Linked DNA regions of Styela clava. The protein of the gene in region 1 interacts with the protein of each later gene in a pairwise test. Links are inferred from orthologs where the notes say so. Each region holds a gene or a part of one and is shown on either strand. Other genes may lie near its edges. The genes, in order: uncharacterized protein LOC120326920 and splicing factor 45-like.

Region 1 (7,539 bases):
AGTTAAATTTGATGGTAGTAGCAATGAATGATGCTGTTTTTTGTTACAGGGTTGTAATTTCTCTCCTAATTATTATTAGTGTCTATTTTTCCAGAAAGAATTCTTTGTTTTTCTTGTAGATTTTATCTAGCATGAAAAAGTTAGTGGGACACACAATTTTTGTGCAACGAAAATAGGCCGCGAAAGATAAAGGTTAAGAACCACCGGCCTAGCCAATTTCTTACACCCTGGGTGATGGGATTTGAACCTCAGATTTTTAACACATTTTAACGGCGCTCCCGTAGTATGTGAACCAAGATGGCGGACAACTGAACAAAGTATGTGTACCAGGTTAGGGTTAGGCCATAATTTTATTCCAATTTTCCTTATTTTAGTTCTATTACAAGTTCGGGAACTAGCCAAGTGACTCCCGTAGTATGTGTACCTGGAATTATGGCCTAACCTGATCCACATACTACGTTCTGGTGTCCGCCATCTTGGTTCACATACTAAGGGAGTACCTTTTCAACACATTCACTGTTAAAATCAAGTGAAACTTCAAAAAATTTCTCAAGAAATGACATAGAGGCTATTGATAAAATTACTGGTAAAAATGCATAATTGTAAAAAACACAATTTTTTAGATGAAAATTGACGACCCATTGAACCCAAGCACACTTAGCAGCTGTAAGAAAGTTAATTTTTGTCGTAATAGAAGAAAAAAATCCTGAAAAATTTGGAATTAAGCCTGCTAGACCTGTAGAAAGGTTAGGCTGTAGAAAAAATAGCAAATTTAAGAGAAAAATTTAGGTAATTTGCTGTGAATAAACTGGTATCAGATTAAAATCATTTTTGATACTCTGCAGAAAAATTGATTATAAATTTGGGGAGGTACTTCCACTAAGAAAATTCATAAAGTTATCAGAATAAAATGGTTATTTAATGAAGAGGTCTTCTGCTGCGTAGCTCTCTTTGAAGTAGAGTTCTGCAGAATTCATGGTTGACTGGCCATGACGAGCGTTCTCACAATGCTGCAATGTAAGTGGCTGCATAAAGGGTTTTTGGGCACAATATGTTAGGTTATATTAAACATGGTTGGATTGTTAGAAAATAGATCAAAAATATATAATATTTACCATCTCTGACTACTAGAGTTTCATATTTTAGCTTAAAAAATAGGCCCTAGAAAAGCAACCTCTGAGATGGCTGGTACTTTACAATCACTGTAACCGTATATTCTCGCATATAAGCAGAATTAAAAATTCCAAAAAAGTTTCCAAACTAGTGAGTACGTTTCTATGCGCATAACTCAGGTTGGCTTATATGGGAATTTTCATAAATACCCCGTTTCGGGGAGCTGGCTAACATGCGACGGTATACAGTACTCAAGATTACTTAAATCTTTCTTTTATATATACTTACAGTTTTATATAATCTTTCAATTTATATTTCTACCCCTCAAACTAGGATATTAGGTTACGTTAGAAATTATTAAATAAAATGGCCATTTTATGGTTTCTTAAAAAACAAAAAAAAATTCATTTGCCTGATTGGTTTGTCAAAAAATGATCAGAGAATCGTATTGTTGCTTTCATAGTGGGATATATTTTTAATATATGCTGTACTTCGAATTAACTAAGAAGTGCTTCGCCTACAACTTTACAAAGTGACGAATCTCTTTTATTTATGAGTATATGCACATGACTTTGTTTTAGATAAATACCAATAAAAGGGTTACTAAGTAGAAAGTTGTAAAAAAATAATAAATTAAACAAAAATAGCAAAAAATTAATGTCACCACAAAATATGTAAAAACCCAAAGTGCTTGTTGCACTCAGATTTAACCAAACCTGTCTTCAGGGTTAGGTGAAATACCAAGGTCGCCAGATTTCAACTTTCTCGTCACATCTTCGATCTGTAGCTGAACTGTAATTTTCACGGTTATGAAACACGTTGAAAAAGAAAAAAGAATCGTTTGTTAGGGAGACACCAAGTGGAGCACCGATAGTGCCTCTGGTGTATTAAAAAAGAGTAAAAATCTATATTAATACGAAAAAATAAGAATTGAGAGCGTGAAACTCCTTTGAGACGTAATTCTTGAAATCCTATCATCCACCTAAAACCTGGCATCAGATACTTACCCAAGCCCTAGAAGTTAGAGACAGTTAATTGTGAATTTGAAAGATAAAAAACGTGTATAAAATGTAAAAACAAACTTTTTCAAACCTAATTGGGCCAAGAGAGATACAAAAAGATTCAATCTATTAAAAAAAAGCACAAAAGCGGAAAATTCAAAAAAATGAATAAAAAAGGAAATTACCTATGTATGCTTGTTGCTGTTCTTTACTCAAATTAGCAGGCATCGTGGATGGGATACCAGGAATGTCAGTTTTCACTTCCGGCGTCGACCAGCGGCTACGTTTCTTTCTTGGTCGGCCACGTTCATCAGACGTCTGCTGCGGCGTTGTAGGCATAGACGGCTGAGGTGGTGGGGCTTGCATTAGCGGTGGTGCTGGTGCTAAGAAAATATATATTACAGAGTTTATTGAGTATGACAATACAATCAAGACTTCGTTAAGTATCATCTAGATGCAGTAAGGCACAGTTTCCAAATTCCAATTATGTCCCCTCATTTTGGTTCAATAACACTAAACACTCCATGTGTCTCACAAGCGAGGGGCGAGTCGCACGACGGCAGATGTGTCATATCGCATCATACTAGTCTCGAAATATTTTACGTTAATCGCAGCCGTCACATGACCAAAACTGTCGTTTTTGCTAAAAACTGTATGCCATAGTAAAAGTAAAAAATTTTTTCCTTCTGTAAATCGGATTATTTTTTACAGAGGAATTCAATGATGACGTTTTTAGATCGTGCATTTTTTTAGTTTATTGTACAACTTCGTTTTAACAATGTCCAGACGTCGCCTCGCTCGACCTGTTAAGTGTACCGTACTGGAATGTGACTAATTTGAATATTCATGTCTTAACTAATACACTTTTAAAATATCAAAAAGCATTTCAAAAGTTGATAAATCATATCCACTAGTTTTAACGTTTTTATTTTTATCAAATGGCATGTTTGTTTCAGATACAAAAAATAGATGTTTACAAGCTTACCAGAGCTAAATTTCTTTTGTTGCAAGCTGGCAGCAGCAGCCTGGGCAGCCCTAAGTGCTGCAGCAGCATTACTGCTGACTGAACTTTGCTGTGGTGAAGGCTGGGAATGTTGTTGCGGTGGAGGCATTTGCGGTTTCAAAAGCGATGGTTGTTTTTCCGACGGAGGCGTCGCAGAAAATGTCCTTTTTGACCCAATTGCGGGGTTTCGCGGTCCCAGCGGAATCGCATTTGCCCCTGTAAATCCACTACCTCGTCTTGACATCTCGATAAACTTCTAAATCTACTAATGAATAGAGTTAATACGCTTATTTAAATGACAACAGCTCGCGAAAAGCTAAACGCAAATGGCGACGAACGATGCTTTGCGACGTGTGAAGGAAAAAAGCAAAGTCACGTGATCAATCTTCGACGAAACGTTCACAACTTTCGATCGCATTTCATTAATGAATATTACGAAGTATGTCAATATACTCGTTATTGATAATCTCTAACTGAAATTGTTTTAGGAAAGATTTCATTTTATAATTGCATTCGATAAAAGCTTTCATGAGGCGTTTTTCATGTGGATATCTGCTGTATGAGCGCTCGAAAAATCTAAAGCATACGGGCCAAAAACCTTGACCGTTCTTGTATACTGTATACTGACACACGCAACATATTGTTAATCAACCTGTGTTTTCAATTACAGTATTGTATATATTGGCATTTATTAACAAAGTAATAATATTGTTTGTTATTTAAATATCTTTGCTTCTCTGCATTTTACATCATCACACGTAACATGTCCAAATTTACATCACTTATATAAACGAACCTTGCTAAGCGGTTAGTAACTGATAAACTACGGTATGGCTATTTTTCAAGAATAAAATTTGAAATAATTTTCGAGTTTTTGACTGTTTCTACATCGAATATATCCATTATATTTCAGCTGAAACCGTCACACTTGATAGAAAACCGTTCTCCGGTTCGTGACGTAATATATCGGTCCTTTTCGTGTTGGTAACTCGAGAGTTTGGAAGCATGGCGAAGTCGAAGAATCATACGAGTCATAATCAGTCAAGAAAAGCTCATAAGAATGGAATAAAAAGACCAACTTCACAAAAATACCCTTCCCTAAAAGGAGTATGTCCAAAGTTTTTAAGAAACATGAGGTTTGCTAAGAAGCACAACAAAAAAGGAGCAGGAAAAGTAAAAGCCGAAAAATAAACTTTGATGTGACTTCAAGATTGGCTCGTGTGAGTTTTCGAAGCAATTGACGAATTTTGGACAATTTAGCCAAGATATTGAACTCGAGAAAATTTCGTGCTATGTAATTGTTTGTCATCAGAAATTCGAATATTGTGTTAGAAAATAAAATATGAGCTAATGGATCTGGTTTGTCTGTGATCTTGCTTCAGTCATCTCAAGTTGTGTAGTTTAACATCCTGACGGTACTTTTAGAATCAATTTCATTAATGATGTGGTCAAAGTACCAACAGTGTACAAGTGTGCCACCCTTTGACTTTCAGACTTCTCTGCATCTTGACTTAGCATTGACAGACTGGATATTTAAGAACTTAGGATCCAAAATAATTAGATAGAACAGTTGTTTATTAGTTGAGTTTTTCAAAGTGATGATTAAGATTATTTGAACGCAATTCAGAAACTGAATTCTACATATTCAATTTGAAAACAATAACAAGCAACCTAGGCATAAACCAACTACAGACCACAGGACCACCCATCGGGCCAGCTGTACGGACTTAACCACTTCAATTGCTAGTACTGTAGTACAAAATAAATCGAGATAAACGTTGGGTTTGGGCTGGCTTTACATCACTGTGGAATATCATGTGTTTGTGGCCCGCTAAATACCTAATGCTGCTTTCAAGGTTTCCTCCAGTTGTTTTTCTTGCCATGTTTAATAATGGATTCGAAATCGTTGCAGGGATAGTTATGTGCGAGAGGAACTACTTGCCACTGATTGGTTGCGGCTTCCTCCATCGCCAAGTTCATGCTATAGAAAACTGGCTAACAAATTCTAAAGCGTATATATGAATATTCCCACACCCGACATGGGGCGGCTTTCCTCTTTCCATGATAAATATGTGTATCCTATCCTACTGTACCAATCCTAATATTAGAAGGCCAATAAGCGAATGTAAAAACATAAATGTATTCGAGTTGAAGAATTGAACAACACTCTGGTTATTGATATAAATTAATGTAGTAATCGCATTAAACCCTTTTTCTCATGGCCCTATGGAACTGCTCCATGGACTCTTAGTGGGGATGAAGGCCCAGTGCAGCAGTTGGAGAAACCTAGGACTAGAGCTTTTGAACTGAAAAATTTACCTGTCATGTCTACGACTTTTGTAACTCCACGACTGGGATAGATATGTATTGATAGAACTTAAAAAAATATAGCTTAATCTGTTGATAAGACTCGCAGAATAATTTATAACTTTCATACTAGTTGAATAAAATTATTTTCAAGGAACAAAATAGTAAAAAATAAAATTTGTTACAAAATATCCCAACATTATATACTATGCATAGAGCAAATATATCACAGGATAAAACATAAAAGAGAAAGTCAACTAGGTGAAATTGTTATGCAGACCAGGGACAGAATAATACATTTTTCTCTCATTGCATTAATTGCTTGCTATATATCGATCGAAGAATTCACCATCCCGATTTTTCATTACTCCCATGATCGTCATAAATTATAAACATTTAGATAAAGCTTGAGAGGAAATTTTTTGAAGATCATTCATAGACTTATGAGGCATTTAAATTGATATACACACACTTATACACTTCATAAATAACTTTAATCAGCTGGATGATGAGATGGCCCAACCAAAAAAAAAAAAATGACTTGATGAATTCGGCATTTTTCAGACTTGATTTAATAATATCCAATTTGCAAGATCATGTTTTGCATTAAAGGAAATGGCATGGGATTAACATTTCATTGTGGTTTGCACAGAGAAGATGGCAATAAAAGTTGGTCGCAAACTGAAAAAGGTAGGGAAGCACTGGTGTGTGGAGACGAAGTCATTCTAAATTTCCCTGAGTTGGGCCAAAATTTTTTGGGTTTGAATGGTGATGAAAAAGTCAAACTTTTCAACAGAAATAGAGTCTCGATATTCACTTTGGAGGAACATTCAAAGCCAGACAAGACATTTTCTTATCAGATTTTGCTTAAATTAAACTCGAAGAGTATTTTCCACGTTCATCAACCACAGACTCTGACATATATTGAGTGTAGAGGACAGGTATATAGAGCTGTTCTGAATTTCCCCGAGTTGGGGCCAAATTTTTTGACTTTGAATGGTGATATAAAAGTGTAAACTTCTCTACAGAAATAGAATCTCAATATTCACTTCAAAGGAACACTCAAAGCCAGACAATACGTTTTCTTATCAAATTTTGACTTGGTAATATTTTCCACAGTGTTATCGTCAAAAGTCTGAGTCATCGTCTAAATTCTGAATTTCACCAAGTTGAGGTCGAAATTTTAGACTTTCGGTAATGGTGATAAAAAAGTCGAACTTCTAAAGAAACTCAAATAGCATAAAGTCTCAATATTCACTTCAATGGCACATTCAACGTCAGACAAGACGTTTTCTTATTAAACTTAGCTGAAGCGTCATCTTCTGATATTGCTGACGGAAATGTCAAAGTAAAATAGTATTTATCTTCTACAATGAGTTCCACTGATTCCTAAATTAAGAAAAAAAATTCCAATTATACTTTGTCATGCAAAAAATCACAGTAAATTCAGACAAACAGGTATATCATCGCAATTACCGAGAATAGAGGTCGCAAAGATCCAGATCTGGTCATCAGAAATCACTGACACCAAGATTTAAAACGGGTCAAAAAAAAAAAGTGGAAGAAAAATGTACACAAAAAGAAACTTGATGATACTATTTTCAATCAAAATTACCATTATTGCTAAGGTTTTCAGCTCGGCAGTGTGACGAATCGTGCTTGCTAAGCGTGAAGCACCTCTGACCTGTGTGGGTTCAAATCCCCTGATAGTTATGTGCGAGGGGATTGGCGAACTCCTCACCGTCGTAGGGTGGTTCACGTAACCGCTGGTCGGTTATGGCTCCCTCCACCATCAAGTCCATGCATCCAAAACATATGACTGGGTAATCCCATACCCGACATGGACTGATAACTGGACAAGAGGCCGTAGTTCGCCATATGATTGAGTTGTCTTATCGGCTTTCCTCTTCCTCAGAATAAATATGTAAATCCCATTCTAACAACATTAGCTAGCTACTGTTACCTCTGATATATTCAAATCACATTCTGCAACACTGGATACTGTAGGTAACTTAATCTTCAAGACAAACTTTGCCGGTCTTTCATTGTACTTTGGCATCTCTGTCAGTGTGTGCTCTGGTCTCGGCAGATGAGAGAAGTCTGTACATGAAGTTT
Region 2 (7,798 bases), on another chromosome or scaffold:
AACATTGTTGAAAAAGTTGTAATGCTTCTTTCTTGGCATATTTGTTGTTTCTGTGTTTACAGCAGAACTGTAACAAAAAAGCAACAAAATGAATATAAACATTGCAGCTTGCAGGAATACAAATAAAATGGACTAAGGTAATTTGACTGCAATAAAATAACAGTAAACATGTAAATGAAATGAAGTTGGTGTGCTCTGGCATCAAGACTTACATGCGCCACATGTTAAAAATTTTCGGATAAGTTAAGATGCTTCTTTCGTAGCATATTTCTGTTGTTTCCAGCAAAACTGTAATGAAAAAAGAATAAACATGACAGCTGCGAGAATAAAAAGATATACGTTAGGTTAGACGTTAATTTTACCGCAGGTATCAGGTTATGGCACCAGTAATGAACTGACTTTATTTCACTATTAAACATTTGATATGCTCAGCCCTTACACTTACCTGCTGCACATGTCAGCATGTTGAAATTTTTTGTAAAGTTTGTAATGCTCCTTCCTTTGCATAATTCTGCATTTGTGGTGTTTCCAGAAAAAACGTAACAAAACAGCAAAATATGAGAACAAGTATCGCAATTGTACAGACATTCTCATTACTGCATTAATAAAGAAGAAGAGACAATAATTGAATTTCCCTGCAGACGCACTACAAGTAAATGAATTCGGTAAGCTATGGTAAAATTGACAAAGTTACGACAAAATAGACTCTTCTTATTTTCACTGATAACTCTACTCTATTACGGTACTAGGTAGGGTATGTATTGTATTAGGTAGGGTTTGTTTTTAAGTCTGACAGTCTACCGGTACCGGTATCGCACCCATAAAAAAACTTTCAATACTGTCCCCATAAAAAACTTTCAATTCCCAACTTTCGCTAAGGCGGTACCGTACCGTCCCCACAGAAAACTTTTCAATTCCAGCATCCGCTAAGACGGTACGGTTACGGTACAGCGCAGAGACTGTCGTGGTTATAACAGGGAATGCAAGCCCCGCTTTTAGCATACGAGTTAGTTCAGTGTAACCGATTTTGCTCTTATCAAAATTAACTAATACGGTAGGCTAGATTTGCTGGAAAACCAACCTTATTGCAGTACAGTAGTACCGGTAAGACCGCGTAAGGAAAAATCGTAGCAAACAGCAAGGACTTCTTTACGAACCACCGACGTTCGATGGCACGTGATCAGAAGAATCGAGTGCTTATGCGACCGCAGAACGTTCGGTGACGTCATAGCAAACAAAAACAAATCTCACAGAGCTAACAGAAATATTTGAAATAAATAAAAGTAATAGCCTTCTGGAGAAAAATTTCATCTTCAACCACTAAAAATTTCAAAGCAATTGGTCCAGTAATCAAATAGAAAAGCGGTTTTTTAATATTTTCACTAGGTGTGTTAGTCTGTGTCAAACAACAAGAACAACATAATATTGAAACGATCGTTATGTCCATTTCGTGTCCAATAAATTTATACCTCTATTTCGCGCGTAGGATGGGTTTTGAATGACTGAGGTCTATTCCCCTATTCAGAGCACAGAGATATATAAATATATATTTCCAGTTCAGTGATTCAGAGCCATTATGGCTCTGCCCTATTGCACACATGATTGCACAAACGCGAAACTTTAAAGATGGTCAAAGGAAACACAACCCTACCAACGTGCCAAGTTTCATCATTTTATCTATTATATTTCTAGTGATTTCCAAGCTTTCTCAAAAGGACAATGGGTAGTTGACGACATAGAAATTTGGTCCGTTTTTTTCCCTAGGTCGTTTTTTTGGTCGTATTTTCGTTGTTTATGGAATTTGAGTGGGATTTTGCAGAGCTACGAGGACTAGTGGACGAAAGCGCGTGTGGAATATCGCCACGGTTCGTTAAATTTTCCGCATTAATTATTATTAAATCAATGAAGTTAATGGCCACAAAGTGGCTAAGCCACCCTACTAATATAAGCTGATAAGTACCGGTATAAATCATGCGGAATTATATCTACTCAAATCCTAACCAACTAACTCAATATTTGTCACCATAAGGGATAGCCCTGTCTTCATGGTCCACTTGCCGTGGTTACGGCAGCAAAATTTTACCTGCCATTGACCACTGTGAAGCTAGTAGCAAACCTTCTTCTAATTTTGCGCAGCGGTGCGTATAATCTCGTTTTTTTGCTCATTGAAGGGTGAAATGACAGTTTTGTGCTTATTGAAGGGTGGTGGCGTAAAACATGGGCGAGTCCTAAATTCCACACAGAGAACAATGATTAAGTTTGTAGACAGGCTGTGGAAGAAATACATCACGAAGTACATCACGATAAGCAATAAATTCAAATATATTTGACGGCAACTTAGGATACAGAGTGGAAAGCATCCCGGCGGTTTGATCGCCTATGCAGTTTCATTTGTCATAGTACGTTGTCGAAATTAAATATACTCGGCTGATAAAATTGATCAGGACAAATATTTTGACAAAAAATGTTAGATTACGTATTCATATAAGCTTGAAAATATAACGAAACGAGTGTTCCATGTCACCTGCATAGGTTTCGGTAATAACTGCCAATTAAAAGCTAAGTTATGTTCAATTTATGTGACATTTTTTGGAAATACTTCTCATGCCTGCAAACATTTATACAGAGGTGCAAGATGGTACACGAACTAAGAGAAATAAGCAATATCAACCGAGCCATTGAGTTGAGGTCCAAATCGTCTGACCAACTCGATTTACATTATTAAACACTGTGATACCGATAAAAAATTATATGGTGCCCATTCCGTGATGCTTTATGCGCGCTGCTTATTTGGCTAAAGTGTTAATTCAACCAAGAGCCCCGAGCATTTTTGTATAACTTTAAAAATATTTCAAAACCAGCCTACTAAATTACAACATTTCGTAGCCGTAAAAGTGCTTTACTTCGTTTCAAACTGTGTATTGTATTACGTAACAAACGTTAAACTTCATTATAATATGTCTTAGTAATTTAAGAAGTTTCACATGCATTTTGTAGTATAAAGCAAATTCTTCAACACATGCAATAAACAGAACGTAAAAACTGTTTTGTTTCAATATGTCTCACTGGCGCTGAAATCAGAAGTCAGGTTATTATATGTCGTACATTATCGTTATATCGTAATTTGGATATTTTGAAGATCAGCATAACGTCTCTTCTATATTGGTGGCGCGAAATATTAATTTTTTATTCAAGAGATGACAAATTTCCAGAATTATGTGCAATCGTGTCATTAATACACGATAATTTTATAAAAATGGTACAAACAAAATTATGCAATTTACAAAAGTCAAAAAAGCTAATTTTGGCAACTTTCAAATCCCAGCAGCACACTCTACGCACAAGAGGCATTCGATTTGATTATTTTATGTTAAAGAAGTTTATCTGAAGTTTTTTACACAACTAGAACCTAAGCCTTTTTTATTTTAGAATCTGGGGTATTCTCATAGCGAAAATGGCCTTATTTGGAAAAATTACGTATAGCTGAAAAAGCTAATTTAGTCAATTTTCAAAGCCTAGCAGCACACCCTTCCGCACAAGAGGCATTCGATTTGATTCTTTTATGTTAAAGAAGTTTGCCACACAACTAGAACCTAAGCCATTTTTATTTTAGAATCTGGGGTATTCTCATAGCGAAAATTGCCTTATTTGGAAAAATTACGTATAGCTGAAAAAGCTAATTTATTCAATTTTCAAAGCCTAGCAGCACACCCTTCCGCACAAGAGGCATTCGATTTGATTATTTCCCATTAATGAAGATTACCTGAAGTTTGCCACACAACTAGAACCTAAGCCTTTTTTATTTTAGAATCTGGGGTATTCTCATAGCGAAAATGACCTTATTTGGAAAATTACGTATAGCGAAAAAAGCTAATTTAGTCAATTTTCAAAGCCTAGCAGCACACCCTTCCGCACAAGAGGCATTCGATTTGATTATTTCCCATTAATGAAGATTACCTGAAGTTTGCCACACAACTAGAACCTAAGCCTTTTTTATTTTAGAATCTGGGGTATTCTCATAGCGAAAATGACCTTATTTGGAAAATTACGTATAGCGAAAAAAGCTAATTTAGTCAATTTTCAAAGCCTAGCAGCACACCCTTCCGCACAAGAGGCATTCGATTTGATTATTTCCCATTAAAGAAGATTACCTGAAGTTTTCCACACAACTAGAACCTAAGCCTTTTTCATTTTAGAATCGAGCTTTTAGCTTTTATTCTTAATTTTGGTTATATACTTGTTATTTTTCCCAAATTATAAACATATTTCCCATAATAGTATGCTAATTTCGTTTATCTTCATTTTTTTGGGTGTAGATTCTGACACGCGCCTCCATTTCTGCCTTAAATATTACCCTTTCCGCTTCGCCGCACACAAAGGTCAAATTGCTACTAGCTTCACAGTGGTCTGCCATTGGCTTTCAATTTGCTGCCGCGGTAACGGCAGCTCGTCATTGGTTTGTGCTTGTGGCAGCTAAAAAGTCAGTAGCCATAGGTTTGGCTGTAGCGGCCATGGTATGGAAATACTGCCATGGTTTTGCGGCAGCTGCAGACGCCACAGAATACTTGCACTTGTCGAATTGTATGACCATAAATGTTTTTTTCAATGTTCAAGAGTGTTCCTCCCATTTTGACAACACGGTTTCGACTTGCAGGGTGATTCTGTAACACATAACTGCATAATGTCCAAAATAATTTCATTCTCTGGTATGTTTTCAGAATAGGCCTATATATAAACGCAAGAACAATGTCTCTCTATGATGGATTAGGTTTGGATAGTAATCAAGGTGAAAAAGCAACCGGGTGGTCTTCCAGTTTCACAATGCTAAAGTCTCAACTTGAAGCAAAAAAGGCAGCTTTAACAAAGGCAAAGCATGAGAAGTTTCGAAGTGGGAACCCTGTTGTTGCTCCTGTGATTAATTTGAATAAAGCAGTAAAAACAGAAGAACAGCTTGATTACAGCCATGATGACAAAGTTAGTTTTAAAGTTGTGGATTATTTCTTTTTTAAATAAAAAATTTCCAGGTACTTTTACCGATTGGTTCGTGATTCTAGCTGCTGAGCTGTGCAGTTTTAGAATAGATGTTCTATCTTCATAAGTTCGTATATTACTAAGCAACATATTTTAAACGTTTTTGCATTTCAATGATATAGCTAGTGGATACAAAGCCTAGTCCGTTTCTTGGTGGAGAGAGTCTTGATCAATTTGAAGATGAGTACGATCCTAGGTATCCGAATGAATATGAAAAAGTTACACGAAAAAGAAGAGAAAGACGTCAGCGGGAAAGAGAAGAGGAAAGGCAGAGAGAAATGGAGGACAGACGGAAAAGAAGAGATTCAAGACATTCGGATCGTGATAACAGACGAGATGATCGAGCACCCCATGGTAGGATTAATACAATTTTCGTGATATTGCGAATACTTTAAAACCCATATATTAGTTTTTCTTGAATCAGTGAATCAATAATTTTTGATGGATAGTAGCCTTAAGTGATCACAAATATCTTGTGTTCACTCTAAAGAAGAGTTTAAAAGTAATCAAAAGCCTACTAATCTTTACTGACATTATAGTGCTTCAATTAATATTCGAAGTTCTTGGAGTTGAATGACATACACATACACATCAATTTGAAATAGTTCTAAGAAAAAGGGGATTTTGAATGCGGAAAGTGATAGAAAATTCATATTTTACCCACTCTGGATCAGGTTCCAGACATGCTTGCAATTGTTACTTTGTAGATAAATATTATGTGCTTAGACATATTCTAACCATCATTTACACTCTTGAAATTAATTTATGTGAACTTCAGTTACTGTGGGCTTAAACAGTCAGCTAACTATGAGACTGACTCCTTTTATGGCACCAACATACATTGATGATGACTTCATGAAAGCGAAATATTATATATGTAACCATTGTTGTTGTACAGGTAGGTTTGGTGGGCCAGGAAGTGGATTTTCGCGACGACCTGCATCTGACGAGGATGAAGAAGATGATGATTACGAACGAGAAAAACGTATCAGAATGACCCAGGGAAGTAAAGCTGCAATCGCACCTCCAACTATTCTTATAGAAGAAGATAAAAAGGCTGAAATTGCTCCTCCACCGCCTCCTCTAGCATTAGCAGGTTTCAATATCTTCATTTTTCAACAAGCCGTATATTAAACGAAAATTCTAGTCCAATTCATTAAACTAACAGTAAATACTTATTGGCTTAGGAGGTGTTTGTGTATTCAAGGCCTCATTTTTAGCCATATAGAAACTGTGTCAGTGTCGATTGAAATTTAACAGGGTGTAATTTATGTAGAGAGAAATTTCAGATTTTATTTTTAGAAGACTATATGAAGTAAATTTTATCCTTCATGACTCACTAATAGTATTAGGGAATTATAATATTTTTACTTAATTGATATTCCTCCTCAAAAGAATTCCTATCCAATTATTCGATAATAGTGAACACTTGATGCATTACTTGTAGGTGGAGCTGGAACACAATTTGCACGAAATATGGCAGGTTCTGTAGCACACAAAATCATGACAAAATATGGATTTAAAGAAGGATTGGGTCTTGGAAAAGGAAACAGGGGCATCAGTCATGCATTACAGGTTTGTCACATTTTCCGTGTTCGATACAAAGATGTTTCAATAAAATTTAATGAAATAAACAAGATTAATTTATTAGTTGAGAATTGTAATTTGGGGCTATTTTTAGTGTAAAATCTTTTTGGGAATCACAAAAGAAAATATTTCCAAAAGTTTACCAATACAGTACAGCACACTATACAGATCAAGTGACATTGTCTCGTTACAGAGAAACCCATTTTACAGATGATCAGACACCCCTCTTTTGGGAGACGTTTGTACATTGCTGTCTTTCATATATCGTATAATGAAGTTGGCAGTTGCACAAAATACTACAAAAAAACGCAATCTAATAACGTCATCATTGAATTCCCCGGGGAAAAAATAATCCAATTTACAGAAGAAAAATTTTTTTTATCCTGGCATACGAAAGTTTTTACCGAAAAACGGCAATTTTGATCACATGACGGCTGCGATTAATTTAGATTATTATTGAGACAAGCATGGCATGATCTGATTTGGTGCCACACGCCCCTCGTTTGTGAGACGCATGGAGTGTTTGTTTTATTGAACCAAATGGAGGGAATTCTTGGAATTTGGATAGTGTGCCGTACTGCAATATAATAGTGCAGAAAATGCTCAAGGCTGCTCATCCCTGATTGCAGCCATTTAAGTACATCCTTTTTGCCAATCGTTTGACCTGGAGCAACACTTATGATTGCATAGAATCATCTGGAAAGAAGCATTAGCTTTCCTAAAAGTAAAGTCTCTCTTTTGGTATGTTGTCTTATAATAGGTTGAGAAGACAAGTAAACGAGGAGGTAAAATCATACCAAGTTCTCAAATTGAAAAACAACTTGAAGAAGAGAAGAAAAGGGAACAGGAAGAAAAAGAAAGTGTAGCTAATTTGTTAAAGAATCCTACAAAGGTATTTTTACTTGTTTCTGTTTTTTTTTCACATTTGGTTAATGGTATAAATAAGGCATATTTTCTATGTTTATCAATGCTCAATCTACAGGTCGTTTGTCTTCGTAACATGGTTGGGCCTGGAGAAGTTGATCAAGAATTAGAAGGTGAAACATCGGAAGAATGCAGCAAATATGGGGAAGTTAGAAAGTAAGTTTGCGCAATTCCATCGGTTTGATTAGATCTACTATTTATTTATTTGCTATGAACTGGATTTATTTTAAGATTAGATTTTGAAGCAAGATGGAAT

What was found.
Region 2: the proteins of uncharacterized protein LOC120326920 (region 1) and splicing factor 45-like interact in binary tests that used the Homo sapiens proteins (3 or more experiments, as listed by UniProt). The link is inferred for Styela clava from reciprocal best matches to the Homo sapiens genes SF1 and RBM17.

Annotation. Positions count from the first base shown.
Region 1 is NC_135253.1:22,301,404-22,308,942, reverse strand, and holds the start of uncharacterized protein LOC120326920, read right to left. Parts: upstream 3,480-7,539; 5' UTR 3,362-3,479; coding exon 3,100-3,361; intron 2,498-3,099; coding exon 2,300-2,497; intron 1,906-2,299; coding exon 1,830-1,905; intron 1-1,829. Other genes in the region: PIH1 domain-containing protein 2-like, read right to left, coding at 6,679-6,813, 7,388-7,524. UniProt on the Homo sapiens protein: Necessary for the ATP-dependent first step of spliceosome assembly. Binds to the intron branch point sequence (BPS) 5'-UACUAAC-3' of the pre-mRNA. May act as transcription repressor.
Region 2 is NC_135252.1:14,908,033-14,915,830, reverse strand, and holds the start of splicing factor 45-like, read left to right. Parts: upstream 1-4,695; 5' UTR 4,696-4,746; coding exon 4,747-4,974; intron 4,975-5,153; coding exon 5,154-5,385; intron 5,386-5,929; coding exon 5,930-6,127; intron 6,128-6,478; coding exon 6,479-6,606; intron 6,607-7,378; coding exon 7,379-7,510; intron 7,511-7,600; coding exon 7,601-7,698; intron 7,699-7,798. UniProt on the Homo sapiens protein: Splice factor that binds to the single-stranded 3'AG at the exon/intron border and promotes its utilization in the second catalytic step. Involved in the regulation of alternative splicing and the utilization of cryptic splice sites.